Daphnia pulex: one gene and its partner. The protein of the gene in region 1 purifies or fractionates together with the protein of each later gene. This does not show direct contact. Links are inferred from orthologs where the notes say so. Each region holds a gene or a part of one and is shown in the gene's direction. Other genes may lie near its edges. The genes, in order: sterol regulatory element-binding protein cleavage-activating protein-like and sterol regulatory element-binding protein 1-like.

What was found.
Region 2: the proteins of sterol regulatory element-binding protein cleavage-activating protein-like (region 1) and sterol regulatory element-binding protein 1-like purify together in Homo sapiens (affinity purification with western blotting; 4 studies listed by BioGRID and IntAct, with this or other methods). This does not show direct contact. The link is inferred for Daphnia pulex from reciprocal best matches to the Homo sapiens genes SCAP and SREBF1.

The regions. Positions count from the first base shown.
Region 1 is NC_060019.1:10,891,240-10,906,488, reverse strand, and holds sterol regulatory element-binding protein cleavage-activating protein-like, read left to right. Parts: upstream 1-5,095; 5' UTR 5,096-5,194; intron 5,195-5,271; 5' UTR 5,272-5,398; coding exon 5,399-9,328; 3' UTR 9,329-9,554; downstream 9,555-15,249. Other genes in the region: microsomal triglyceride transfer protein large subunit-like, read left to right, coding at 137-160, 234-367, 428-502, 558-911, 983-1,148, 1,217-1,371, 1,453-1,613, 1,674-1,831 and 8 more; cytosolic iron-sulfur assembly component 2B-like, read right to left, coding at 4,187-4,459, 4,524-4,603, 4,669-4,792; geranylgeranyl transferase type-2 subunit beta-like, read left to right, coding at 9,879-9,881, 9,964-10,272, 10,333-10,491, 10,560-10,666, 10,737-10,843, 10,915-11,231; uncharacterized protein LOC124191180, read right to left, coding at 11,729-12,158, 12,230-12,377, 12,443-12,603, 12,680-12,758, 12,842-13,100, 13,175-13,843. UniProt on the Homo sapiens protein: Escort protein required for cholesterol as well as lipid homeostasis.
Region 2 is NC_060018.1:507,367-522,585, forward strand, and holds sterol regulatory element-binding protein 1-like, read left to right. Parts: upstream 1-6,040; 5' UTR 6,041-6,165; exon of another isoform or gene 6,166-6,271; 5' UTR 6,272-6,317; coding exon 6,318-6,381; intron 6,382-6,448; coding exon 6,449-6,531; intron 6,532-6,600; coding exon 6,601-7,158; intron 7,159-7,219; coding exon 7,220-7,362; intron 7,363-7,422; coding exon 7,423-7,534; intron 7,535-7,598; coding exon 7,599-7,803; intron 7,804-7,868; coding exon 7,869-8,056; intron 8,057-8,143; coding exon 8,144-8,439; intron 8,440-8,556; coding exon 8,557-8,905; intron 8,906-8,992; coding exon 8,993-9,369; intron 9,370-9,462; coding exon 9,463-9,589; intron 9,590-9,874; coding exon 9,875-10,042; intron 10,043-10,110; coding exon 10,111-10,249; intron 10,250-10,323; coding exon 10,324-10,518; coding exon of another isoform or gene 10,519-10,538; exon of another isoform or gene 10,539-10,618; coding exon 10,619-10,653; 3' UTR 10,654-10,680; downstream 10,681-15,219. Other genes in the region: transient receptor potential channel pyrexia-like, read left to right, coding at 11,551-13,642, 13,720-13,820, 13,885-14,628.

The DNA.
Region 1 (15,249 bases):
TCTCTAATCAAGTTGGACATTGTGCCATCTGTTTAGTTGGCATAAACTTCCATGTCTTAGCTCAGCAAATTTAATTCATAGCATGTGTTGAAAAATATAATTGCATAATGATAATCATTTTGTTTTATTTTTACAGGTTCCATCTGTCAGCAAGCTCCTGGTAATGTAGAAACCCTTCTCAATTTCCATCTAAAACACACAATTTCATTTTCAAATTTGTATTTTTTTTTTAGCAACCAGCACTAGACAATATGAATTGGGGACCACATATAATTATCACTACACAGCTGCAGTATTATTGAATGAGGCACAGCCACTGTTCTCTCAAAATTCAACTAAAACAAAAGGAACTGATGTGGGATATCAAGTAAAAACTATAAATAATTTTTGACTGAACTACTGCTTTATTTTAAATTGTGTTATGTAGGTTGCAGCAACTGTTGAGTTGACTCCTGTGTGGCAGAACCCATCTAATACTGCCAATATGTTATTTGAGCTCTTGGTAATAGCGTGTAACTAACTCCATCTGGTCATCGTAATAAAAGTTTCTTTTGTAGATGTCTAATCCGAAACTTTCTATTCGGTCCCGTAAAGCCCAACAACCCGACGGATTTGTTGATCACTCATCGCCCTTGGATGATACAGAATCGACCGCCGTGTACATCGACTGGAATGATGGGAAAATCTCTAACATTTACGCTTTCGAGTCGGAATCTATTTCATTGGTCAACTTTAAAAAGGGCATTGCCAGCCTTTTCCAACTCCAAACCTCGGCTGTTGAACTTAACGAACTTGATGCTTCGGGAAGCTGCACCGCTGCCTATACAAATCTTGGTGGCCGATCTTTTCTGAAAATAAAAAACGATTGCCAATTTCAAAGACCGACCACCTCGTTTGCCCAGGCTAAAAAAGTACCGCATATTAATTTTAAAAATTTATGACTTTTGAACTCAAAATAATAGGTTTAATTATTTTATTTTAGATATTGGGTTTATCATCCGTTAGTAGCTATCAAACCAAATACAGTTTTAAAAGTGATTCAGATGTGGTAGACACATTGACGTCAACCGAAGTCCACAGCATCAGAGTAAACCTGCGCTCTCAAGCCGGAGCCTCTGTAGTATCACGTCAATACCTCCGATTAAACGGTATAAATTTTCTGAAAATCAGTTACTAGGATGGGACGTATTTTAAAAGTATATACATTTCATTTCAGGCGAATCCAAATCGAAAAAGAAAATTTCCGCAGTGTCATTGACCAAAGTTATTCAATCCGTTACGATGAATACCAACGTAAATCTCGTCGAGGATAACCTTCAGCTAGTGGAAGAATCATCTGTACTCGCCTGTGAGACCTCATCTTGCAAAAATGTTTGTAATTGTATTACATTATATTTTTTCCATTTCACATCGAAAAATCTGAATGCTCATTTTATTTTTATTTTTTTTTAGCTTAAAAAGGCTGTCAACGAAGTAAGGAAAAACCTCCAAACCTCAAAAGTCGCAACTAGTTTGGGCGCTAGTGCATTCGTCACGCTTTTACCCGTCGTTCGGCAATCGTCCAAAGATGATATTTTGGTTCTGTTAAAAGATTCCAAGAACAAACAAATTTTGTAAGCTTTTACTAACCCTATTTAAGTTATTCCGTGAATGAGCGCGTATTTTTTTTTAAGACCGCAACTGATCGATGTAGTCGCAGCCGCTCAAACCGCTGAAAGCTATGCTGCTGCTTTGGAGGCGATCAACTTTCAGTCTGAAAACATTGATCTGGCTGAGCGATTCTTGCAAGTAGTTTCACTATCGACTCGACCATCTGAATATCTACTTGGCGGTAGTTTATCATTTTTATATTTACTAACATAATTCAGGCACTGGAAATTTTGAAATAACAACTTGTATTTCAGGTTTGTTGAAGTTATCCAAAAAAATCAAGTCAGAAAAACTCAGCGAAACAGCATTGCTGAGCTTGGCTGCGATTACAAAAACTTTTGTTATAAATCAGCAAGAGAAAGCAAGTGACAAGGTATGCATTTTATTTTTATAAATTTCGCATTGTAATATTTAAAGCTTTTACTTTTCCTAATTAAATAGCTAGTTAAAGATATCACCACCTACTTTACGGACAACCTGAAAACTTGTGCCAGCGAAGATTGTAACCAACTTTACATGCGAGTCTTTAAAAACTTGGGCTCGCCAGAAACGCTACCCATTATTTTGACCCACATTGACAGCCAGGATAAGAAGACATCAGTATGGGCAGTTAAAGCTTTAAAAGCTCTTCCCGCTTCCGTCTTCCTCGACGATCGTGTTAAACAAAAATTGGAGATTATTTACTTTCAAGTTGATCGTCCTTACGACTCGAGCGCTCGCACATTGGCATTGGATATGTTGCTCGATCACCAGCCTGACAGCACTTTTCTTATCAACGTCTTGATTTCTCTTTCGATGGGAGGCAGCGAAAATTTGGAGCTAAACACCTACTCACTGCAGCGATTGCAAGAATATGCCGGAAATGACCCAGTTGTCCGTTCTCAGTTGAAGCAAATCTTATCAGACCGACCTTCTCTTAACAATTATCACGTATTCGCCCAGAATGGAATGTCAACGACCTTCTCTCGCGATCTGTATCGCAACGTTGATGGCAATGGAAGCTTTAGGTTAGGTGCAAATTTTGATATTTAACCAAAGTACGCATTCATAGATAACCTTTTATTATTCTAGTTCTTCCACTGAAGCGGCAAACAAAATGATGAAACGCGCCGCTTTTGATGTTTATTTGCGAAACCCCGAAGACACTTTTCAGCTACTCTCGGTATAATTTTGTGAATTGTTATCCACAATATATAAGAAACTAAAATATTTCAAACATCAACTTATAATGGTATGGTAACAAATAGGTCGGACTTTTTACCGGTGGAATGGGTTCTTTGATGGGTTTTTCTACTGAAGGTGACGAAGAAGAACCTACAGCAGGCATGGAAGTCACACTTGCTGGTGTCCAGCTAAGACCTGTTATTTTCTTCTCGGGTCAAAGCGAGCTAATGGGCCATGTCTGGTAAGTGTATATATTTTACTATATTCCATGCTGTTTTGGCAGGTAAACAAAACTAAAAATGCAAATGGAATGCTTATTGGACCTTGAAAAGAAGAGTTTAACCTGGTCCAAATTAGTAAAATTCTAGTAACATAGAACTAATACCATTTGTCATTGCCAATGTCCAGGTCTGGCACAGCATCTGAAAGAACCACAGCCCTACAGGTAGATTACATTTTGTTTTTCAGAGTTTTAAGTATACAGAAACTAAATTCGGTATTGACATTTCTATTGACATTCATAAACAGGCTACTGTGCTGCTTCAGGATTATCGTAATGTCGTACCACTCCAAAGTGGTTTTGTTACTACACTCGACGTGCGTGGTTCTGTCTCTTTTGATTTTGGTGGCGAAATCCAAATCAGTATTTGGAACAGAAATTCTCATTCAGTTGTCGAAGATATGTAAGTCAATTTACAGACTGGATTTCTGATCATAATGATAAAACTCATATTTTCATTTCAGCGCTGCATGGGAGCTAGAGGGGTCATTAAATTTAAACACGCCGTTTGTTAAATCATCTGTTGATTTCACTGTGGGTGCTGAATCTCGGGTCGATTTCGTCAATGATGTTAGCTTTGCTAACGGAATTCTTTTATGCTTGCGTATGGGCCAAGCTGAATTCAACATAGAGTGAGTGTCACAATTATTTTTTCAGCGTCGAACTAACTTAACATCCCTGTGTTGTTTAGTTACACTGTGCAGAAGCGCGAAAGCATTCCGGGAACTAAGCACTGGATTCACAAAAAGAAGAAACGCCAAGATTTCGTCCCAGGTCGCACGTTCAAACTGAATGACCAGAATTCTGGCTTCTGCAATGAAATGTTCCCTGCAGTTGAGAGTACTGGATCATCTTATTTTTAAAAGCAATGTGTTTTTCTTTTTGTTTTTAGGTAAATATTTTAAATGACATAATTGGGGTCCAAAGATGCTCAAATGAAGCAAAGTGGTTTAAAGTAGTTTACAACTTTCATGGTTCTAATTGAATGTAAATGAACAGGGACAATGTAAAGTAATTGTCACTGAATAGATTTGAATGTGTTCCATCAAAATAAACTGCATTTTCATCCATAATGTATTGATCAAATGGTTATTATTCCAAACTTTTTACTAAGCATTGATTAACAACTTCAAGTAGATTGCTGTTTTCCAAAGCGGCTGAGACTCTTTCTTTGTCAGCTAGCTGTTTATTAACAGCTTCCTCTGAAGCATGTGAACCTGGGGAAATGTTTACTTCAACTTTGAACCTAGGTGGTAGAGACCTGAGAAGACACACTTTGATGGACAGTCCTATTAAAGTTGCCATGCTGCAATGAGGGATTGTTGGAGTGTAAAAGACTTTAACACTGCTTTTTTTGTCATCAACCTGTACATACATAAAGGAAATAGAGGTAATGATTTTGTGTGAAATCAGACATTTCATATTTTACTTCTATATTCGTGATTTGTACAACATTCAGTTCTTCAAGTGACATAGGATGCTCAGGATCATTGATATCCCTTAGCAAATCTATAATTATGGAGAGATAAGCGAATTTGTTTAATGATGTATTACGCAAGTGCGAAAGTCTTTACCGAATATTTCCCTCTCATCTATGGGATCCTCTACTGATTCATCTTCTTCTTCACTTGTTATTTCTCTTTTTGTCTTCTTCGTAAATAACTGTGGATTCACATTTTCGATCCCTTTGGAAGTCATTCTTACAATTCAACACTTTGACAAGTTTATCCGACTAATAACGAACGCAATCGCGAAACGAATAACATGCGAATAACTACAAGTAAACAGAACTAGTAACGGCATCTAGCGATACCGATAAATGTTTAGTTGTGTGCGCGGCGGCGGCTGAGTGAACTATTGCGGAATCGGCAATATTTAAAACTAAATAACTTAATAACCATAAAACATATTGGCAAACGAATTTTACTAATTTAACTATTTTTGTAAACAAATTTTAGGACAACTCTGGTAGGTACTGTATTATTTCTTTTCTTGTTTAATTCCACCACCACGTTACAATTTTCTGCACTAGACGCTCCAGTTGTGTCAAGGCATTGATCTTTAGTTGACATGTTTTTCTTTTTTGGGCATTTTCGACAGGTAAATAGAGATTAAAATTGAATCTGCAGCCGGTTTTAAATTAAAAAATCTCTTATTATATTGATTTTCTTGTTTAGGAGAAACGTTTGCTCTCGGAGGTCATTCCCAATATTGCCAATACTGGAAAGTGTGGCGAAATGTCGTGAAATTTATTCACTATTCGTCGTCTACAGTTTGTTTTAATATTTTTGGACTTACTCAAACATGCCTTTTGTTGAGCCACAAATTGGTCATCATCCCGCCGTCAAAGATGTTGATTCGGCTGGACTTGCTAATGGAAGTGGACTGAATTCAAGCACCAAAGGCCTGAGTATACCCGACAGGGTAGCACTCCTCTACTACAAACATGGCCTTCTGTGTTCTAGCTACCCCTGGTGCACAATCATAGTGGCAATTATTATTGTTCTCACTTCGTGTCATCCTTTATTGTCCTTGCCTTTTCCAGGCAATGAACCAGAGGAGATATCTTTCCCGCTTCCAGAGAAAAGAATCTCTTCTGATCTTGAATTTGGAAAAAGCTTTCAGTATCCAACCAGATGGGGAACTCAGCAACCATCTTTTTTCATACAACAAATAGTTGTACGGTCCTCTGTCAATCCATGGACGTCTGATTTGGGCATGATGGATGCTTTTCGAGGCCCATTGAGTGAAGTCTTCAAGCTGCATTCTGATGTAGTGGGTTTCCATTCACCTAGGAGTAACCTGACTCTTAGAGATGTTTGCCTTTACGTGGAGAGTGTGGCCCCTAGAGCTCGTTCGTTTCAACATCTTCTACCCGAATTCAGCTGCATCATTTTGTCGCCGGCCAATTTGTGGAAGCTGGACGAAAATACCTTCCGCAACGACGCTCAGTTCTTAGACACCATATTTTCTTTCAAGAACCCAGTGGTAGAAGTGCGATCAAGTATGGCCGACATACTTTACGGCGTCCCGCTCAAAAATAGTGGATTGAAAAAATTCCCAGTCAAGACTCGTTCTCGCGTCCTTACGTACGCTATCACAATCTTACTTAAAACTCATTCTGAACCGTTTCTTTATGACTTGCGGTTAAAGCTCCGCAATCAATTTCCTCTCCACTCCACCACTCAAGAATCCACATCATCTCGACGCACCATCGTTCACATTTACTATCCCGAACGTTTCAATTATTTGGAGCTCATCCCGCTGACTTTTGTCTACTTAATCCTGTTCCTGTACATTTACTTCTCTGTTCGCAAGATCGAAATGGTTAAATCCAAGTTTGGCATGGCTTTCAGCGCCGTAGTGACAGTGGTAGCATCGCTGGGCATGTCGGTCGGCCTGTGCACGTGGTTCGGATTGCGCTTCACTCTTCAGGGACGAGACATTTTCCCTTATTTAGTGGTGATCGTTGGTCTGGAGAACATCTTAGTTTTGACTCGCTCTGTCGTCTCTACTCCAGCCAATTTGGACGTCAAGATCCGTGTAGCACAGGGACTTAGTCGTGAAGGATGGAACATAACCAAAAATTTGTTAACAGAAGTGACTATTTTGACGGTGGGCTTCTTCACCTTCGTGCCGGCCATTCAAGAATTTTGCCTCTTCGCCGTCGTCGCCCTTCTCTCCGATTTCGTTCTGCAAATGCTGTTCTTCTCCACCGTCCTGTCCATCGACATATTGCGCAAAGAGTTGTCGGAAATTCAGCGCCAACGACGGCAGCTTCAACCTGGTCAGCAGTACCTGTCGACCAACCACACCGTCCATACTCTCAGTTCAGCAGAAAGGGCATTTACGGGGAATGCTGTCCATCCCCACTTGCGCACCCGAGTCCACTCAGCAGCTGTTTCAGCCAAAAATACCCCAACGGCCGTCGTAGCACCATCCTCCTACACGCACAATCGATCAGCTGCGGCCAGAGTACCACGTCGGATAAGGATCGTTCACTTTTGGGCTCGCACGCGTTTGTTTCAGCGTACCTTTATGGTGGGTGTGGTCATATGGATGAGCATTTTCTTTTACAAATACGTAGTGATGGAAAATTTGGCTGATCAATCGGCCGGATGGTCTGTCGAAGCCAATGATTCTTCACAGGTTGAATTTCCAGCACCACATCCTAATCTCAAAGTTTCGTGTTCTGCCGGATCCAACTGTATTGAACCGGAAGAACCAGATCTTTTGAAAGAATCCACGATTCTAGCCAATTCGGCCGCACCAGAACTATCAGTTACGTCATCCAGCGGCAAAGAAGTAATCGATTGGCAGAATCGGTTACAACATCCCAAAAACGTCGAGCTCTGGAGGAGGCTCTCTTATCGCCACTGGCCCGACCTGCTGGACATTTACAATATCTCGTTGGCCGGAAAGTGCATAGCCATGTTGCCTCCGATTCGAATCTCTATCCCAGTCAACCCAGAACGAGTGTCAGAAGTGCGCAACAGTCGCGATGGCGAGTACCTGACGCGATCGCGATGGAAATCTCTGGCATCAGCTCTCGATACGCTTGATGTTCTTGACGGTGACGATAGTGATTTCGGCCTGTCCGGAAGCCATGGTGACGGAAGTATTGGCGGCGGATCAGGCGGAAACGGTGGCTCCGATGAAGACAACAAGACTCCCTACGTTCCTTCGTCGCCCATTCAAATTATTTTAACCACTTTATTAGCCATACCGAGCGTGGTGTTTATCGCCTACGTGACTGTCGTGTTATATCGTTGCATCTGCTCTCGGCACTACGCCGAATGGAGGAGTTCTTCGACTTTCTGGGGCTGGGCCGGCAATGCTGGTGGTGGGTTGACGCAAGAGTCTCGCGAATACTATTCACAGATAGTAGCAGAATCTATGCCTCTCGTTCTCGACGGTCATCGTTCGCCCATCGAATGCATATCCACCGATGGAGATGTCGTGTCGAGTGTCTGCTTGGCCGGCCAGCTCCACATTTGGGACATCCAGACGGGAGATGCCGTAGCTCAAATTGATAGAAACACTTATTTCGCCGCTTTTCAGCAACAAACGTCGCCGGCCTCTCCCAATTTTCCACGCCACGATACTTACTCATCCACTAACGAACTGGGCGGACTGTTGAGTCACGCCGTTTCTAATCCGATTGTATTTAGATCCCCGGGCTCGTTTCATTCTCCTCCGGCCAGCCCTAACAACCTGTCTTGGAAAGACAGAACTAGTCCAACGAGAAATAATAAAACGTCTTACTTTCCATCGCCCGTCTGGTGCATGCAATGCTTCGATGGCCAAGTGGCACTGGGCTGTGCCAACGGACGCATTGAAATTTGGAGCCATAATTCCGGTTTGCGTTGTCTTTACGACGACGGCAGTGGTGTCGGAGTGGCCAAACTCAAAGTTTGTGGCGAGTATCTTCTAGCTGCCCGATTGAATGGAGTCCTGGAGTCGTTCCAGTTTCACGCCGATTTCGACAGTCCTGTGGAAGATGTCAGCCACCACGTTCATTCTCGTCGTGGCGCCGACGAGTACGACGAAGAGGACCGATCATCTCCATTAGCTTTCCGTTTGGTCCGGCTCAACTGGGCTAGAGCTCACCAACAGCCCATCTCAGTGTTGGACGCTTCGGCTAGTGGCAGCCGCGTCGTTACGGGTTCGCTGGATCATTGCCTCAAAGTCTGGCGACTGGAAACCTTGACAGCCCTCTACTGTCTTCACGGGCATCGCGGACCCATCACGGCCATGTTTATCGACGAAGCTTACCCCTGCAGCGCATCGGGAAGCGGAAGTCAAGACGGAATGCTGTGCATGTGGGATCTCTCCAGCGGGACTTGCGTCTACAGTTTGCAGGCTCATGACGGTAGCGTGTCCGTCCTGACTTACACCTCCTCGTACGTCATCAGCTTGGGCGCCGATGACAAGCTGTGCGTTTGGGAGCGATTTCAGGGTCATCTGCTCAATTCTCTTTCCTTGTCCCGTCTGGCTCTGTGCGGCAGTTTAGCTATGCTCAATGATCGGTTACTTGTCACCAGTCGGCAAGGATCCCTGGTCGTCTGGGATGTCCGAACGGGAGAATCGATCCGTGAAGTTCGTCTTGGCGATGCCGACTCGAGTACTTTTGTTCGTAACGTCATGGTCGTCAGAGACAACGTCATCTGTGACTACGGAACGCAGCTTCGCATCGTTTCTTTCCCCATGATTTCCACCCACAAAGTCGAGTAAATTATTGTGAAAAATTGTTAGCTTTTTTTGGTCTTTTTCCTTCCCTTTTTTTCCCCCTTTTTCCTCAGCCTTTTTCATTGTCTTTTTCAGATTCTCTTTTTTTCTTTTACTTTAGCGTGTCACATGTGATTGGGTTTGTGGATGACAACATAGAGGCTATTGAATTCTACAACAAAACATACCAAAACTGTTGCCGATTGAATAAACCGACTTTTTTTCATTGGAATTTGTTTATCCTAGAGATCATGACTTCATTTACGTAAAAATGGTGTCTTCAAAAAATTAAAAATCTTCATTATGTCTTATAATTTCGATGGCGCTACTGTCGCATCGAAAAAGATCCGTCTGCTAGCCCCTTAACAGTCAGCTGCTCATGCTGCTTAACTTACGTCAAAGTGGTCTGTGTGCCTGTGTTTGCAAAATAAATTTTTAATTTCATTGTTAAGAGTGAAAATCCACCAATCCATAATTTTTGGATAGCTTGGAACCTATTATCCACTACCCCTTGCTACCCCTTAACCATTCCCGCGTAACAGATATAATTTCAATTATGGTACGTATATTTAGATGATTATTTTGAGGAAGCCGGTCTCAGTTTTGATATGATAAATGGTTTATTTGAACATGTGAACTAGGCCCTTCTCATGAACGACATAGTGCTACCGAAGGAGGCTGATATACCTAATCTGTTGCTGCCAAAGCATGCAAGTTTCTTGGCAGCATATGGAAACAATAAGGATGATTATGAATTTTGTATGACAGAGTACTTGAGAATGAATGGAATCTATTGGAGTTTAACAGCAATGGATTTGATGGGCAAACTTGGTGAGATGGACAGAGATGGTATTATTTTATTTATAAAGCAATGCCAGCATGAAAATGGAGGTATAGGAGCTAGTGTAGATCATGATCCTCACCTTCTCTACACTTTGAGTGCTGTTCAGGTTGGTAATGAGAGTTGACTCACTTCATATGCATCTGAAAATTGAATTTTTTTTCTTCAGATTTTGTGCCTGTATGATGCACTTGATGCAATCGATTGTGAAAAAATTGTGAATTATGTCAAAAAGTTGCAAAATGATGACGGAAGTTTCTGTGGTGATCAATGGGGTGAGGTTGATACAAGGTTCTCTATGTGTGCAGTTGCATGCTTGGCTCTTTTGGTATGTGGATTTACTGATTGCAATTTTTTTATGATTAACACATATTTTTGTACACATTTTTACTCCAGGGAAGGCTGGATGCTATTAATATTGATAATGCAGTAAATTTTGTAATCTCATGTATGAATTTTGATGGAGGGTTTGGATGCAGACCTGGCTCTGAAAGTCATTCTGGGTAAGTTCTAAGTTGAGATAATTACAAAGGAAGAAATAATACTGTTTCTTTTTTGTGGTTACCTTTTCAGTCAAGTGTATTGCTGTGTTGGTATGCTGTCGATTACAGGTCATTTACATTTGATCAAAGCTGATAGCCTTGGCTGGTGGCTATGTGAACGGCAGTTGCCGAGTGGCGGTAATTACTTTTGTTTTTAGAAATCTTTCAAATAGACGTCTCTTAAACTATGTAACTCAATTGTTATTTAGGTTTGAATGGTCGACCAGAAAAATTGCCGGATGTTTGCTACTCTTGGTGGGTAGTTGCGTCTTTGCGGATTATTGGGCGAGTTGATTGGCTTGATAAGAATCAGTTGAGAAAATTTATTATGGCCTGTCAAGACGTCGAGACAGGCGGATTTAGTGATCGCCCAAATGACATGCCCGATCCATTTCACACCCTCTTTGGTTTAGCGGGTTTATCTCTTCTCGGTGAATCTAGTCTTAAAACTATTAATCCTGTATTCTGTATGCCACAGCAAGTTATTTCCCGGCTGAAAATTCAACCACAGATGTTGTCGTTATAGCAACTTTATGAATTATTGCTTTAATTGTCCTTCAGAATACAAAAAAGGTTTTTGCATAATCGACATCTAACACATGCAAACTACTGAACAAGTCATGCGTAAAACGTAATCTATTTTCGGCACCAGTATTTCCATTACAATGTTGGTTTAAAACAAATTTCAACGTGTTTGGTATCCGTTTAACTCTAATTTACCTGATTTTTTAGTTTCCCTTTTTGACCAGAGATTAAAGGGATGTTCCAACCCTTTTGTTTTTAAATATTTTAGGTGGTTCAGTGGAAGAAATTTTATTTTCTGAGAAATACGCCTTCAAAAAGTGTAAGTGACAACTATTCTTAAACATAATTTATTTTTCATCAAGTGGATTGCAATATAAAATTTGTCAATATTTCTAGAAAGCTCAATGATAGTCTATTCAACACAATAACCACTTTTTGTACCAATCACCACGAGTATGTTTTCGCGCATCTTTAATTGGCATATTTTCCATCCAAATCTTAGGCTGAATGAACCTCGCCTGTATATGCTAAATTGTCTTCTCCAAGGTCTTCTCCATTTTGTTGATATTTGATTGCCTCAATGTTTGAGGGCTTGGAATCGCTGGTCTCAATTGCAGGAGATTCATCCGAAGAAGTTTGGTATGATCGTGAGCGCCAGAACTTCACGGAGCCCGAAGATATTTTTGTCGAATTACTGGTGGCACGTGAAGCAGATTCCTTGATTTTGACCACACGGTCCCTAATCATTTTGTAAACTTCGGTTTTGCAAACGAAAAAGTAAAACATGGCCGGTCCGATCAACATGTAGAGAGAAATACTGAAGATGAGCAATTCGGGAGTGGCATTGTCTGAATCGACTATTTCGTGAACGATTCTCGGTATCGTGTAAAACTGCATCAGTAAGAAGAAACGGAATATCGTCGTAATCCTGCGTAAAAAAAAGGAACGGTAAGCAACATTTGTTACATCACCATGAAACTATTCATATTTAGATATAACCTTTGTTTTTCCAATTTGCTGAGAGCCACGGGCGAAACAGAAGTTTTAAGGAAACGGAGACTTCCATGAACTTTAAGAGCGCTTGGAATGAAGAAAATCAAATTGGCCGTCACCAGAATGACGTTCGGTGTGCTCAGTAAATGTTTGACTGAAAAATAATCCATGTGTGTTAATTTTATTATTGCAGGAAGAAGACGAATAACTGAAATTTACTTATGGGATTTCCAAACCAACAAAGACGGACAGGTGGTCCCAAACTATCACGATAAATAACCACAGCCATTTGTAGTACGAATGGCAATCCCCAAGCGTAGACGGAACACAATACAAAACGGATGAGCAAGTCCCGTCTATTTGATGGTCTGGGACCTGAACTAAAAATAAACAGTTGCATTTGAAAAATAAAATTCCACCAAAAGGAGAGGGCCGTAAAAAAAAGTGAGTTATTACTTTAACTGGTTCCAGATGTTGAATCCCATCACGGTAATCCAGGTTGAGGACGCATACCGAAAATAATTACTAGCAATCGCTAGTGAAGAGAAATTTTTTTGTAAGGATATATAATTAAATAAAATTTTTAATAATAAATTTTAACCTATATGAGATTCTTACTTTTGAAAAAACACCAGGTGTGGGGTTCGGTGGGAAGTGAAAGCAGGATTCCGTATTCGAGTTGTACGATAATCATACAAATCAAGAAGCAGATCATCGAGTACCCCTGGATGTTATCACGAAGTGGAGGGAAGATGGCATAGACGGCCAACGTCAAAATGAGGAAGAAAGCCGAGACGTAATGAAGGTACGAATAGACACCCCACAGGAGATACCGCACCAATTTCATTCTCCACGGCAGGCATATCATGGCAATATCCTAAAGGGGATCAAAAGAAAAAGTTTCTTCATTGTAGTAAATTAACATTTAATAGGACCCTGATATAACTATACCTCTTGGTTTCCCTCAGCATCGACAGCAGTATCAACACAATAATTGTCGGAATGACGCAATACTTTGTACAAGGCTCTTTTCACAACAAAGTAGCCGGATGCGTTGACCTCATATCTGTTATCGACGAACATTTTTGGCACGTAAATGTTGAAATCATATTCGCAAGTCAACGAAGAATTCTCCACGACTTTGAATGGCCATCCGGCCGGAGTAACTATTTTGGAAGCGTTGAAAACTCGATCGTTGGCGATGCACTCCATGATCGAATTGCGTTTGACTGATTGGCCCATCGGACAACATTTTTTCACTTGCGCTGGAGTGCGGCAGTAGGCTACGACAGTCTCGTTACGAACATCATTAAACGCAGTGGAATGAACACAATACTGAGTTATTGTTTGATTGTAGCGAGGTTCTACAATGGCACCGTCGACGGACTGGTTTTCCATTTTGAAAGTTTCCCATCCATCGGAACACTGTAAAAGTGGATCGTTGACTCCGGATTCTTCCTGGTAGGTTTTGAACACCGCGGGATTATCGACGCACTTGCGCAATTCCACGTCCAACACCTGATTTCCAGGGCAGCACTTTTGCGGGAATACTTTGTCTCCGAAGGTTAATTCCGCTAACACGGTTATCACAACGACGCTGGCACACGAAAGTAATCCCATTTTCTCTTCTTTGGTCACCAGATGTAGGCGATCGTTCAAATTGGGGTGCGCTGGAAATTCGGAGGGCTGTGTTTAATCCAGTAGAAACCGGATTGGACCATGATCGCAATTAGTAGACCGCAGCAAACTGGACGAGAAATGGATCAAACGCGTCCGTGTCAGGAGCGAGCACCAGCCGACACATTCGCCCGCGTGGAAGTGTGCTCAAAGACTAAGTATCTTTCTTCAAACGTATTACAATTGAGTTTCTTCACAACGCACGGTCTTCTCCAGCACTTTCGCCCCCTAGCACTATATACTTTGAGCGTGCCCGCAGCTACACACTCTAGTCAAAAGAACGCCCGCTGTATCCCTCAGGTAGGATGGTTGTTGCCGTTCGTTCGAAACGAGCTTAGTCAAGGTTAAAAATCTCCTCACAACGTTTCGGTAACACTAGACAAAGAGCGTAGAACATTCACGTGTTGTTGACGTCACATTTCCTGGATATCTCACGATTTCACGTCCACGAAAATGTCATATTTATTGGTTCACGGAGTAGTACCAGTCTATCATGGGTATCTTTCACACCGTTTCCGGTCTGTCTGTTAAGTATTGAGTGGTTCGCGTTGCTAGTAATATATCCCAATTCTTTAACAACTGCGATTGTCAAATAGGAAACCGTCTCAGAGGGACTCTGAATTTTTATAGTAACTAGACTAATTCCTCCCTCCAGCAAACGGTCCGTGACTGGAACTCTAGGCGCAAGCTTTGATGTTTATGGGCACTATCACGAAAAAACAGCCTGCGGCCTGCAGACTTCGAATTCGCCGCCTCCCAAAAGAAAATTTATTCTTCTATGTATTTGTGGTTTGTGTGGATGTCTATGTTGGCGTTCAATATTTGCTCAACCGAGCGAATCCTCAAAGCAATAGCAAGTTTGAATATATACCGGTAACCGCCAGTAACTGGTTTGCCTATACCAAGGTCGCAGGTGGGACGCAAGAACAGAGCAGCAGTTCACGCAGACATATGGTTCGAGCGTGAAGTAGAGTCGACCTTGGCAACAGATCGCGACATCAAATTCCTTGTTGGTCGTCGTTCCCGAACGATTTTCCTGGAGGTAAAAAATGCGTTGATTGCGAACGAAATCTCTTATTTGAGATCGAGAACTGGTTGTGAAAAATTGGAAACACCTTTTTTTGTTTCTTTCTTCCAGATTCTCAAAGTTTTCTTGAGAAGAAAAATCATTAAACGTGTGTTACAGCTGACATTTCGAAATTCTTCTCATCACGCCCTTGAAACTGCTGCTGCTGCGCTCGTATGCAGATGAAGTCGCGTGAAAGTTCGTGTTCAATGTCGAAGGGCCTTTTCAAATTTCTAGTTCTATTGGAGCTTTTTTGCACAAGTCCATGATGGGTATAAGATGT
Region 2 (15,219 bases), on another chromosome or scaffold:
ATGTGAAGGCATAAGACTGGTCAACGAGGAGATGAGTGAGAAACCCCGGAGCGATGCGCTTGCTGTAGACGCGGCCCAAAAGGAAACGCGGGTTGTTGACATACAGTGTATACATGCCTGATGCAGAGGAGGGACCCCGTATTACATTCGACACAATAATAATAATAATAATAATAGACTGGAAAACTTCAGTTTGCGCAGATATATTCCACTCTGGACATGAGGGACAAGCCCCAAAGACAACCGGCCATCCAGCCCTCTATACCGCCGATCTATTGTTACATAACGAAATAAGCAGCGAGCCTCGTCGCACTTGACATATCCAAACCCGAAGAGAACACGGAACATGGACATCCCGCGGACGACGTACGTGCGGCGCTGTTCTATTCTAGTCCTCGTAACGTGGATAACTCACGCGATCGTCGATTGGTGCTGCAATCTGAGCAACTGCCATCGTCTACTGGGTGCATTTGTGTTGACTGGAAACTACCGTGTTGTCTCCTTATTAAATGGGAAGACGAAATCAGTAATCCAAACTGGATGCAGCATCAATGAGGAGGGGGAGGGTTGGCCGGAACTTTGTGACGCACGAATCTAACAAGGAACTAAGCTGTTTGTTAGTATAGTAGTAACAAATATCTTGTAAAGTTGGAAACGCGTCTGTCGCCCTACTATACTAAATTATTTTGACTCTGGAGGAATGAAGACGTCGTTTTGCTTATCTGTTGCAGCTCCATTAAACTCGCGGGTATATGGGAGAATATAGGCAACACCAAGCAACAGCCCGTGATTGAGTTATAGCGCCGAGAAACCAGCAAATGAGACGTGATGAATTTCAAGTTTTAGCTCCCCCCTCATAAAATCATTACGATTTCATAGCCTATCTGTCGTGTATCCCTTTGGCATTTCTCTAGTAATGAAATCTGCTCTCAACGGTAAATACTCGAGGGATTCCTTTGTGCATTGTGTTTTATTTACGTGTTGTTATTATATAGCCTAAACTCGACCCACATAGCAGCCACTATACCGTGTGCAACTGTTGTTATTATTGTTCATCTCAAATCGGATCAAATGTGGGGGAGCCGCTCCCATCGTCGTCTCGTTGGCGGTTGGTGGGGGGAGGACAATCCTCTCAAATTGCGCAATGGGAAACCTTTGATGATGAAATGCAGCACGGCCGTGAAATCCCTTAAATTCTCCTCTCACCCTCGCTCGTGTGGTCCCTTGTCTTGGGCAGTAATTTAGACCCTCTCCTCTCCCAGTTCATTTCTACGAATCTCTTGCCTGTCCGTCTGCCCTTTTCGTTCACAGAGAGACCAACAATAACACTAGACTACTCTCAAGACGTGCTGTTGGAGAAGCCGAGAGAGAGAGAGTCTATCTAATTGTCGACGACCTCCTTATTCCCATCGTCAGGGACTCGGGAACTTTTTTCAGAAGAGATGTTAGTCGATAACAAAAGGATTGTGACGCGGTGGCCGTTGCTACTTTCAGTCGCCTTGTATAGGGGATAGTATTAGATGAACTCGTGGTGAATGTGTCCGACTTTCTGCCGAAAAGTTGGTCTACTTGCGCCATGTCTACATATCATATCTGTTTGCTTTATTATTCGCCTTTTGCCGCACGTAGGACCCAATCATCCACCGGATGATTTCCATATCTTAAGCCTACTGCATATATTAACTCTGACTATTTCAAATGAGAATCGAGATAAGAGGATTCTCAACTTTTCTTTCCTCGGATGACCTTTTTCAAGATGTTGAGCAGCGGCGGGGACGTGTGTCTTGTGTATAGGCAGCGCTTTATCATCTGTACGGCTTGATGGGTACATAATGGGATTTCGTTTAGGTTGTAGGCATATACGTTTCTTCTTTTTTTTTGACGGTTTGCACACGAAATCATTATTGATTTATGAATATTAGACACTGAGGAGAGATATGCTCCATATCGGAGGCTGTTTGTTTTTTCCTTCCCTATGTCGGGGTGTGGCCATTTCGATTCTTTTGGTTCCGTTTATTTTTTTGTATTTTTTTGCACTAGACGAAAAAGAGATTTCACCCTGGGTTTTTTCTTGTTGACACATGTGAAAGCAGCTAGACGTCTATAGACATGTGCTGGTGCGTCTGTAGCTCTATAAGAGAAGAGGACACGGAAATCAAGCAAGTCTTGATCCTTGAGCTGTCGCACCCCCGCCCCACTCGTTGTGTACACACACGTAGAGTGATTGAGAGATTCAATAGTATCTAGGCTTTATTCCTTAGATATATATTGATATTAGAGGCAGAGAGAGAGAGAAAGGAAATCAGCACGCCCAGTTGATCCCGGCAGCATTTTCGAACGCGTTTGCTTCTTGATAAAAAGGAGGGGAAAGATGAATCCAAACAAGACGAACGCATCAGCAGAAACAACAATCGCGGCATTGATTTTCCCATTTCTTTAGATTACCCCCCCCCCCCCCCCCGACCATGTCTCTCTATGCACACACACACACACACATGTCGATGACTCTATAGTATACTGTAGCTAGAGGCATCTAAAGGAGTTGGCTATATAATTGCATCATACATTTTCCCGCCAGCAATCTTGCGTCCGTCTCTTTTCGTTCCTTGTCGATTCAAGGCGACTTGCTCCGAATAGAAATAAACTGATTCTGACATTTCTCGACAGAGTCAATCTCCCCTAGGTATAGAGAGACGACATTGTCTTCTCCTCCGCCGTCGATATACTCTGCAGCATTCCTCATTTCAGTCGGATATTGTCTAGACTCGATAGAGAATCGAAAATTCAATTTCCCCAGTTTGATTTGATTGGCAGGCAGGGCACCACCAAGAAACAAAAAACAACAACAGCACCCCACACTGCAAAGGGGGCTATGTGCTGTAGGAGCTATCACGAGATGATAATAATAATCACGTAGACCGACCCCAATAACACAAAAGAAATGCGCTCGGCTCGACGGGGTAGAGATGGCTTTTGTATACAACTGGTGTAGTACAGTCAAGTTGACTATTGTATTATGTCTGACCTAATAACTGGTAAGCGAATACGACGAAAACACGAAGACGCTTAACCAAAAGCTATTTAGACCAGAGACTAAACAAGGTTCATCACATCTCACACCAATGATATGTGACGGCTACTGTGATCCGGCGGATAGCTGCCGGGCTCGTCTTGGTCGGTCCCTCCTCTAGAGAACCCGAGAAGACCCAGCACCCCAGTAGTAGGCGAACAAGAGAGCGGCACTCGACGACATTCGTGATTCCTAATTGGACCAGCCACAGCCGCCAGTGCTTGAACCACAAGAGGATTTCGCCTGTGTAGTACATTTATTTGTTTTTCATTCATTAGATTCATCGAGAAAAGTGCTTTTAGCAACAGCGCAGTGAGTTGGTATTATATCCACTGGCTGGATATCACGAAGAAGGAAGAACAGGGAAATGACAACGGCCAGGGAAAAGTCGTCCGTTCGAAAAAAGGAACTGTCACGCACGACTTTCATCAAGTCATGAATTATAAGGCCTGATAGATAGTGATATATAACTTGATATGCCTCGTCGTGATGGCCGTCCAGTTGTCAGATAGCGGAATCCTCCGTCAAACGAAACCGGATCGGCATACTACTCCCCTTTTATAAATTTCAAGTTCCGTATCCTACCACGGGTCACATCTTCAAGCTGCAGAGCGCCCAGCAGCGCCGGCCTTTCGTCCGGTCTATGTATAGCGCTGGTATCTCGTCGTGTGTCAGCAGCAACGGCCGAAAAAAAACCAACAAAAAAATGGAAATACGACGACGAAAAAAGTTAAGCCACTGTGCCCGTGATTTTTTCTTCCAGAGAGAAGAAAACAAAAGAAAGTTAAAAGAGAAAGATGTTCACAATCGCTATAGAAATGACTATACTATACGGCGGTTTGGGTCACGGCACAGATACGGAGAAAAAAGCCGTTTGCGCTTCTGGCTGTTCCGCATCGTTTCCTCTTTCGATTCTTGATACGACGGTCTTGGTCTTTCCTATCTTTCGCCGTTATTATTATTCTCTCTTTCTTTCTCCCGCAGCTTTCCTTTTTTCTTTTTCTCTTCTTTGCTTATTTTCGACTCGCGATGATGCGCCCTGCCAAAAGGTTCGTTTCTAGTCCTTGTTAGTTGAACCGCCCGTTATGAATTTCGAAACGAGTGAAAGAATGGATGACGCTCAGCATCGTGGTCTACGTTTGGTTGACGTGACGCATGGTGCGGGAGCAGCTCGGCGCATCCCCAAACATTATTTGTTACGTATTCGCTGCAGCACTCGGGCCCAGCTCAGAAATAGTTTGAAGGCGAACATACACGAAATCTAGTGACGGATGCGGAATCGTCAAGGAGACTCGCCAGCGAGTCGTGCTGGACCTACTATTTGTGCGCACGTACGTTTTTATCCATCATCTTCGCCCGTTCTATTGCTGCTGCTGTTGATCAATTCTGATTGGAACGTTAATCATTATACAGTACAGTACATTGCATTCTTCTGCTTGGCATTTTCCACCACCACCGCAGAAGTACGTAGGTGGGAAGGAAACAAAAAAACAAATGGAGTCTGTCGTCCGTCACGACTCACGGACCGTCGCCCCATTTTCCCGTTGGATGATTAATAACCTAAATATAGCCCGGCGTCGTCATGATCAAGACATTTGTCGACTCGCTTTACTAGATGTTCCTCTCGCCAATAATTTGAATCGTCGTCGAACGAACAATCGACTTGGCCCTCGGCCACCGCACATTCCGGCATCCATCAAAACAATTGCCATTCCGCGCGGCATTATTATCCCCTGATGATGCGATCCATCAGAAGATGTGACTTGGCCTTTGCACTTTTTTTCTCCGGACTGTCGAAAATCCCGATGGAATGTTGGTTACAAAAATCCGACTAGATAGTCCGAAATGCGCTTTTCCCGTTCAAGCGCCTTTTTTCGTTTTAAACGTTAAAGTTTGAGAATGAGATTATTAAATGAAGGAAACGAAGCGAAATGGAAATCTTTAGCACGCCACCGTGTTTCCTGCGCAACACAAAAAGTCTCATTTCTTAATTACCGTCGTCAAACTTGCTGTGGATATCCTCCTCCTCCTCATATCCCGTTGATATTTGAAAGGTGCGCACGACTGATTCCTCCCCCGTCAAGTTCGCTTACTGCTACTGCTACTACTACCCCCCGTAGTGTATACACCGTAATTCTGTACTTGTATACACACACACACGCGAAAGTGTGGGTGCACATGGAAAGTTTTTGTCTCTATGAAACTCTGGCTGTTGCTGCAACCCGTCGACGGAAACGGGAGAGAAGGAAGAAGAAGAAAACGACGTCTCTTTTTTCCTGTTGTTTTCTTCGCTCGAGTTTGGTAATTGGATAGCAGTCGGGACAAGAGTCGGGACCGGTTCAACGAATGAACGTCAATCGGGCGACGAGTACAGTTCTCCGGTTCAACGGATCGAATTAGTTTTCTTCTCGTGACATTTGGTGGGACGACTCTTCGTCTGGCGTCTTCCTTCACGCGAGTCGACGAATTTCGCTCGACAAACGAGTTTTGCGTTAACACAGTTTAGATCTGTGATTTCCTGTTTATTATTTTATTTGTGTATTGTGAGTAAATGTTCTTTTGTATGCACTGGGAATGCGAAATGATGCGCCCAGCTCGCATCGTCGGTCGCAGTCGGCCCGAAATAGATCACCGTACGTTGCAACCGACCAAGGCTCTTCCGATTCCCAAATACGTCCCGAACACAATGTGTGTGTTTTTTGTTATGTCGGCAGTTGGAAAAACAACATCTGAATCCTTCAATTCGGTCGAAAATAGACAAGCGTTTGCCTCGAGAGGTAATACAACAATTTCCCCCCTCGGTTTCTTTTACGTCAGCGAGTATTTTAAAACATTCTTTGAAAATTCAAATGCTAACAACTCGGCCCACATTGCGAGAGGGCAAACAAGTGAAAAATTGTTAAGATCTCTCTTTTTCCTCTTTGGCTGCTGCGGGCAAAATTTTATTTCGAAAAATAATAGCAAACATAGGCAACGTCGCTCGGGCGATCATACGATGTTTTTCTTCTGTCATTGGACGGCCAGGAACTGGCGTGATTTGAAGCTCCACCTCTTACTGTCTGCATGCTGCAATAGTTAACGTCGTTGACCGAATAGTACGCGCTACAAAACCTTTAGTATTTGTGTTTTCGTAAATTCCAGAATACAAAATCGTCAGTCTTCTTCTCGGTTTTCCAATCGAATACACGTCATGTTTTTTAGTAGGTGATTACCCACACACTGAAGACTGTTATTGTTGTTTCCTGCCATGGATACGTCAAATCGCGCCGATGATATGGATTTGGAATTGAACTTTCCTACTGATTTAGGAGGTAATAAAAAAAGTATCTTTTGATGTCTGTTGATAACAAATACTAAAACGTTTGTCCATCTATACAGAGTTGTTTCCTCATGAGGATTCCGAACTTATCGATTTGGCTGGAGAAGATTTGTTTTCATCTTTTGGCCCTGTCTCTCCACCAGTAAGTTTTTAAAAAGTTTTGAAATTTGTCTAATCATATTTGTTTTAATGTGATGTTTTGAACATTAAGGCTCACAACTTTCACCAACAGAAACCTGCCGTTCTCCATCCTCCTCCTGTGGCAACCCAACCTCCCATCATTCCAGTTTCTGTTGTCGAAGTTAAACCAATTCAACAAAGATTGATTCAGACAGTTCCAGTGACAAAAATTGTACCAACAATATCACCTCAGCCTGTATTGAAACAAGCTCCGATACAGACAAAAAGTGTCCCCCAACACATCCAGCCAGCCCAGACTGTATTGGTAAACAAAACCAATCCGCAGGGCACTGTTGGCACTCCTATTCGAGTGGATACAAATTCCCTGGGTGTCTTGATTCTTGGCAACACTTTTGGCTATAATAGTGTTGTCACTGTTCAACCAAATGGCGGTCTCGTCAACGTCAACCAATCTGCTGTTTTAGGATCAGCAAACATGTTTAATGGCAATTCTAATCCACCAAGCCCAACTCATGGGCCACCTGTCATTAAGAAGAGTTCCCACAATGCCATTGAAAGAAGATACAGAAACAGCATCAATGACAAGATACTGGAATTAAAAAACCTAATTGCTGGTGAAGAAGCTAAGGTGTGACTGGTTGTAACTCGACTGAAAGATTTTTTTATTTAATTTATCTTATTGTCCATAGATGAGCAAGTCTGCCATCCTTAGGAAAGCTCTGGAATATGTGCGCTACCTCCAGCAAATGAATCAAAAGCTAATCAAGGAAAATATGGCTCTAAAAATGGCATCTCAAAAGCAAACTGTCAATGGTTTATTGACAGCTTCGATGTAAATATACTTGTTTTATATTGTCGGTATAAAAGCTAAAGGTTTATCGTTCGAATGCAGGGATAGTCCTCCAATTGACATTACACCTCCAGGATCGCTGGAAAATTCGACGTCGGCCGAATCGCCACCCAGCAGTTTTGGTAGCGGATCTCCTTTAACTTATGCGGCTTCGGTAAGCGACAGATTTTAATTTTTTAAATTGATTGATGGTTTTAATTGCTTCAATTTCCGTGCAGTCTGACGACGAGTTTACCATTGACGGAAACATGGTATCGCCCGGAAACGTTATTGCTCAATCGATGCTGGATCGTTCGCGTATTGCCCTTTGCATGATGATGCTGGCCGTGTTCGCATTTAATCCGTTCGGCAAGTTCCTGTCGCATGCAGACTCTGCCGTCTCCCATTACAGCAAACCGTCCGGTCGTGTTATCCTGGAAGCTGGTAAACGTTTTGTTACTTGAATTGCTATCATGACATGCAATCAAAATGTATTCATTTGGTTTCAGATCCCCTCGATCTCGGAGATGATTCTGGATGGTTCCTCTCATTTGCCGCTGTTGGGATTAACATTTTGGTTTTCCTCTTTGTCCTCCTCCGCACTCTTGTTCATGGAGAGCCGTACATTGAACGCCAGAGCAAAGCGGCTTCGCTCTACTGGAGACAGAGGAAACAAGCTGATTGCGACATGAACAATGTAAAAGCTATTTAGGCTCGTTGTTTGTGGTCGGTATTCCCAAACTAAACTTTCCCCTCTCTGGTACTATTGTCTCGTTAAATTCAGGGAAACTACGTAACTGCAGCCACTCACTACCGACAAGCCCTTTGCGCCTTAGGTCGGACAGTGCCCGTATCTAAAGTCGATGTTGTGGCTAGCGTCGGATGGAATTGTTGGCGTCAGCTGTTGCATCGCTTCGGATTTACCCGCTTTCTCAGCGGCCGTGTTGGCAAACTTTTCCTGAATCGCGATGAACGCCGAGTGGCCCGTGAGTTTCTAGCGGAAGCCGCCCTTTGTTTTCACAAACTTCACCAGCTGCATCTTAGTCAGCAGGACGTCATTGATCCCAACAGCCACTACTGGTAATTCGATCTTTTGATTTTTGAGTTTAAATTGATAACAGAGAGATAAAAACTAACGATTGGACGGACTCGTGCCTGTGTGTATTTGTTATTTATTTGTTATTAATCTTTTTTAAGGTTCGAGCGCTATCGTGGCTTGGCTTTAGCCCTGTCTGCTACAAATCTCGGCGAAGCTGCCGGCCCTGCACTGAGTGCCATGTCCAAGGCGGATATTTACATTCATCTGGCGCTACGAACGAAACACTCGTTTAGTGGGCGAGGTTTCTTGTGCGCTCGCTTCTATTTAGCCCGCGCTCGCCAAATCTGTCAGGCTCTCAACGGCAACGCCCCTCCCCGTCTGCAGTGGCTCTGCAGTCCGGCCGGCTATCGTTTCTTCCTCAGTCATCATTGGGAGTACGACGATTTCCCCTCGACTTTGTTCACCTCTCTGGGCAACAAGTCTGATCCTTTGGCTTTTACCATGCAGGTTCGACATTTTTGTCAACAAGTTTTTTTTTCCTTTTTTCCTTATCATCAGTCGAAATTATAATCATCATTGTCTGTGTGATTGCAGGTCTATCGTCAGCACGTCCTACAGAAAGCTCTATTGACGTTAGTTTCGCCCGGTCGGCGTGTTGGTGATGCCTGCGATGTGGAACCTTCTCGCCGGGCGCAAACTGGCGACGCGTTGAGCTACTCCCAGCAGTTGATGGAGAACGCCACTGCTGCAGTCTCGCCCAGTAATGACTCCTCGCTTTTACCGCCTTCTACCATTCAAGGACTGGGTGTCGGTGACGAAGTGGCCGGATGGTGGGCAGCTGTCGTGGCTGTTGCTTCTTATTGGCTCCTGTGTGAAGAGGACAAGGCAGAGCAATTGCACGCTCGAGTTGAAGCTTATCCCAAAATGACGCAAGAGGATCCTCTGCTGGAAGCCGTTTTAGGGGCTTACAGGTAAGCGGAGATGCGTCATCTCGTCTTACTCTCTTTGGACGTCATCATCAAACTCTTAATCGACAATTTCCTTTTCGGTATTTCCTATTACAGGGCGCGGCGTTTGTTGCTACGCGGCGCTGATCCCACATCCATTATTCAACAATGCTCTCTGGCTGGTTGTCGTTTGAAGGAGTCTCTCCAAGTTTCACTTCACAAAAGCCCTCAACTCATGGTTCAGGTAGGGAAGGCGCATGTTTGTTCTTTTATATTTGCCCCGCATTGTGAATCACTGTTACGATTAGATTCGACACACTGGGGGTAGCCCGTGTGCATTGTAGTTGCATTGCACGTTGTCAATTCTTTGTTTCGCGCAATGCTTCGGCAGTGCAACTCGGGATGCCAACCGCTATTCTTCAACAGCAATTTTGGTTCACTTATTTCATTTGTTGGCGTCGGACATGTTGTTAATCCTTTGATTATTTGATCTGGTGCAATGAAATTAAGGCCCTGTCATTCTTATTAGGCTGCCCAATTGCTCGTCAGCGATTGGCTGTTGGAAACTCGCACAGCTTTGTGGGAAAATGATTTTGAAGGTCACAACATGGATGTCAATTATGTGGCAGAACCCGCTGTTTTATTGGGATTCCAAGAAGACTTGTCTAGTTTGAAGAAACTAGTTCAGCACTTGCCCGTAAGTCTCGTCCTTTTCTTTGGGGCGTTGTTGCATTGTTATAGGTCAATATTTATTTGATTTTATAGAGCACTTTGCCGAGAGTATTTCTACATGAAGCGACTCTGAGGATGATGGCTGGTGCAGCTCCTGATCGAACACAACAGCTACTTGATCGTACGCTTCGCTACCGCCAGAACAAACAGTCGGTCATTTGCGGTAGCAAAGGTACTGGTGTTTTTCAATTGAAACGCATTATTTTGTATTTGTGTTGATAATACTTGATAATTGTTATCACGTAGGTAAAAATGCGTTCTTGGACGCCGGCGAACGAGAACATGCCACGGCACTGTACATGGCTTGTCGCCATCTACCTGCTCCTTTGCTCTCGTCACCGGGCGAACGAGCTGGAATGTTGATTGAAGCAGCTCGAACGCTGGAACGTATTGGGGATAAGAAACGGTTACAAGATTGCTACACGTTAATGAAAGCAATTGGTACATCCATTTCAACTTAATTTACTTCATGTTATTAATTATATCTAATCATCTGTGTCCCCATCAATTCATTATAAAATACCAAAATTTCGCCGAATAGACTATAAATCGTATGACGAAACACCTGATGAGTAATAATACAACCAAACCTCTTTTTGTAAATGCACTGATGTACGGTTGAAGACTACGCATACGCATTTTTATGGTTTCTGTGTATAATTATTTAAATATCCTCAAACTGCAACCGTACTCAACACTTGTCGTATTAAATAATATAATTTTTGTTTTTCCCAACTAGTAAACCGAAAATGATTGGCGTGTAGACCAAAGGTAACTTTCAGTTGAAGCTGTTTTACTAACTGTAAATGCAATGCAAATATTTCCCACTTAGATCTTCGATCGGCAAGTACTTACATTTTTTAAATTATCGTTTCCTTAATTGTGAAGTGCATTTCTTGAAGAAAGGTTTCGGTGCTCAATTTGTTTCAACAGCGGTGCTAAAACATGGAGTGCAAATCGGTGAGTAAATTTTTATTTATAGTATACAGTAGCCGACTGTAATTGCCTAATTGGTATTGACCATTAGTCTATAGATGCATCGAGCGCAACTTTTTTTTTAACTCTGACCTTCTAACAAAGGACGCAGCCTTGTTTAAGCTAAAAGTTTGATCTTGTTAAAAAGTATTCTAATTATTACTTAGGAAATTACATCTTAGATCGTTTCATTTCCGGTCGTAGTCCTATTCCACACGATGAATAATCGACAACGATTTTTTCATAGCCAAATTTCTACCACATCCCTTTCCTTTCGATATGGAAAATCGAAGCAAATACGGTCGTAGTCGTATCCTTCCTCTTTCGTAAGTTTCGTAAATGTGAGCTATTTGTGAGGATTTTCTTAAAGATAACAACAAATCGTAGATTCATGTGCGCATTCCCGAAAGTTTCCGTTTCTCTTCAGTCTTTCAAGTCGATTGGCCACCAACATTTCATCTGTCTCATTTCCAGTGGTACGTAGCACATTTTATTGAAATGTCGAATCAAGATAACCGTGAACAAGGCGCGTTCGGTGTTGGCACCTACGGGAGAATTTTGGCAGATGACAAAGATCAACGTAGACCGATAACTCATCCCCGCCAGCAAAAATTACCCCGACCGAAGTTAGGGTCGTACCCTTCGAAGAATTGCAATTTCAAAGTCAGACTGTCGTCAAGAAGGAGCGTTTCCCGAGAAAATGTAAGGCAGCGATCGTTCCCCAGTTTATCCAGCATCAGTGAAACGGAATCGCCGAGCTTTGATTTCACGGAAAGTTTCGAAGTTCTCGACGAAGGTGAAACGATTTCTCCAACGACTTGGTGCGTTTGGCCCCAACAGATGTTGATGGTGGCCATCGATGAAAAATTATTTACTAAAAGTCCCTTAAATGTCCGCTTGTGTAAACCTCGTCTCAATGTTTCCCTTGGTGAGTCTGACTGGAGGGAAATTCCACCTGATTGTTATGACGTTGGTGTTTTGTTTGCTGCTCTGAATGGGCACGTCGCCATGTTGACTTTTTTCCTTGAATCGGGAGGGGACGCCAATGCATTGGATTTGCTAGGCAGATGTGCCCTGCATTACGCGGCAAGTTCTCCGAGTTCCAGCGCCGTTTTGTGTCTCAATCTGTTAATCCGTTACAAAGCCACAGTTGACGTGTTGGACCAGAATAAAGAAGCGACTCCGCTTTTCTGTGCCGCCGCTTCCGGCCGTATCGAATTGGTCGAAGCACTGTTAAGCAATGGTTCGGACGCAAACGCTGGGTGGGGAAGTTCAAGCGCTTTGGTGTGGGCCGTTAGGGCCCGAAGTTTGTCTTGTGCCACTCGGTTGGTTGAAGCAGGCGCCAATGTCAACAATTTGCAAGTTCTCTGTGAGTCGCCTATTCACGTGTCCGCTTTCCAAGGAGACGTCGACTGTTTGAAATTACTTTTGGAGAATAAAGCCGATGCCAGTGTCCTTTGCGGTCCCGAACGAAGAAATGCACTGCATTTAGCTTCCTTGAGAGGCAAAGCCGAATGTCTTCGCTTACTTTTAGAGGCCAGCACAACTGAAATTGACAAGCCGGAAGCCGTTGGCCGGACACCTTTACACTTGGCGGCCTTGTCTCAATCGGTAGAATCGGTCAAAGTATTGTTGGATTACGGAGCGCGACATGATATTTGCGATGGAATGATGGAGACGCCGCTTCACAGTGCAGTCGTCAAGTGCCGTAGGGCGATCGATGTCGTCAAGTTGCTGATTTCCAGGGGAGCCAATGTCAATGTGAAGAATCAGTTCAGTCAAACTCCACTCCACTTGGCGGCAATCAACGAACATTCGAAATTGGCTTCGTTCTTGATTCTCTCGGGCGCTGATCTGTCAGCTAAAAATCGAGCAAAGAATACGGCTCTGGCCTTAGTTGCACGACGAGTTCCAGACGCCTTGTCAACCATTTCGAAAAAGTTGGATTCAGCGATTGAAATAGCCGGAGGACTCGATCCAACTGATGCAGATTGCGAATTGCGATTAGATTTACAAGTTCTTGTGCCAAGCGGCAACCAGCAAAAAGAAGGAGAAATGGCCATGTTGACCTCGATGATCGCGGCCGATCAGCATCATCTGTTGCAGCATCCAGTCATTGGCGCCTTCCTACATTTGAAATGGACGAAGATCCGTACCACTTTTTTGGCCTCACTCATTTTTCAATTTTGTTATGTTCTCTTTTTAACACTGAACATTTACACTACATACGTAAGCAGTAAGAATGAAAAAGCCGAGAATGGAACGACCAATTTAACCGGCACAATTGTGCACAACTCTGATTTAATTGACTCACAAACCCAAAAAAGCTACTCACTCGATTACTTTTGGTTGCCGACGATCTTTTTCGGTTCCATGACAGGGTGCAAGGAACTTTTCCAACTGTATTGTAATCCACATGAATACGTGACAGATGTAGAAAACTACGCGCACCTCTTTTCTGTTGTCGGAATAGCACTCGTCATTCCCAGGAATGAGGATGGATATGTGTCTGGTTGGCAGACTCACGTGGCCGCTGTAGTCGTAATCGTTGCCTGGATTAATCTGATGTTGCATATCGGACGATTTCCCGGTAATTTGAATTTCTTTTTGTTTTGATTATTGTTTTTGTTTTGCATCGATTAATTCTTTAATTGCTGATTTCCTTAGCATTCGGTCTGTATATCCAGATGTTTACCACCGTTGCATGGAATATGTCCAAACTACTGGTGACATATTTCTGCCTCATCGTCGGCTTTTCGCTAGGATTTGTAGGAAGACTTCTATTTCAATTTATTTTATTTATTCAATTAATTATTGTTTTCCCCCGTATAGGCCGTTCTCTTTCCGAAATCGAAATTTTTTGGTGAAATACCCATCGCGCTTCTCACGGCAATCGTCATGATGACAGGCGAAATGGATTTCAACACTCTGTTTTATGATGAAAAGGGCAACGAAAAAATCAGATTCCCTGGAACAACCCATTTAGTCTTCCTATTCTTTGTTCTTCTGATTGTCATAGTTTTGATGAATTTACTCGTTGGTTTAGCCGTCTCTGATATTCAAGGCTTGTTGAACTCGGCTGGCTTGAATCGTCTTATCCGGACTACGAAGCAAATTGCGCGCATGGAAATTTTTATCTTTTTCCCTTGGCCCATCCGTTTGCCTCATATGTGGTCAAAAATTCCTAAACGAGAGTGTCTACAGCGCAAAGTATTGGTGGTGTCACCCAAGGCAAAACGTACTTACAACTTCAAGCCCAACGACCCACGTGATGGACGCTTTCCACAAAACATCAAAGAAGGTTTATTAGCAATTGCCGTTGAAAGAATGGCTAGCAAAAAGAAAGGACCGTATCAGTATAACGCCCTATCCGTTCAAACCAACGGAGAATTTATTACCGACGTGTTTCATCGAGTTGACGAACTCTTTACGAATTACATGTCGGAAATTGTTACGATGAACGAGAAGATAAATGAAAAACTTGCGCTATTGGAGGATGCTAATAGATTCAGACTACCGTTGATTCCAGCTCGAAAAATTGTAGAAGAGTTTTCTCATTGTGATACAGCCGTCTAATTTATGAGCAATCTTTGTGGAAAATCAGTAGTCCTTTTTTACTTTTACTTTCATTGGTGTTTTAATCGACATAGCTTCCCCAGGGTTTCCTTTAACAGTAAAACAATACTAATAAAATTTGTAAATGTGTGAAAAACTCGAAACGATTGTTTAATTACTATTTCCAAATGGGTTAAGTCTATTGCCACGAAATAAATGGGTTGCATAGACATACTATAGACTTATCAGGTCGACATTTTCTTTATTCAAGATTCTAACACGATTTTGTTTTAATTTTAATCACTCAAAAAATTTGTCGTTAAGCTGAACACTTTGCATTCACAGATCACAGTCGAAAATTTGCCGCCTTGGCTGATTGAATCTCTGCAAATTGCATAGATGCCAGATGCGGACGTTTTTTAATTGCAAAAATGAAAACGGCAATGTTGCGCCTTACGAGTTAATTTCAAGATGGTTAGATGGCTGCTGACAGTCTGACAGCCTCTGAGCCTCACGACCTAAGTCAACTCAACTTATTCTCCCTATTATTATAATATTCGTCATCAAAATGGTAACTCTTGCTTGTATTCATTTGAGGCTATTAAATGTAAA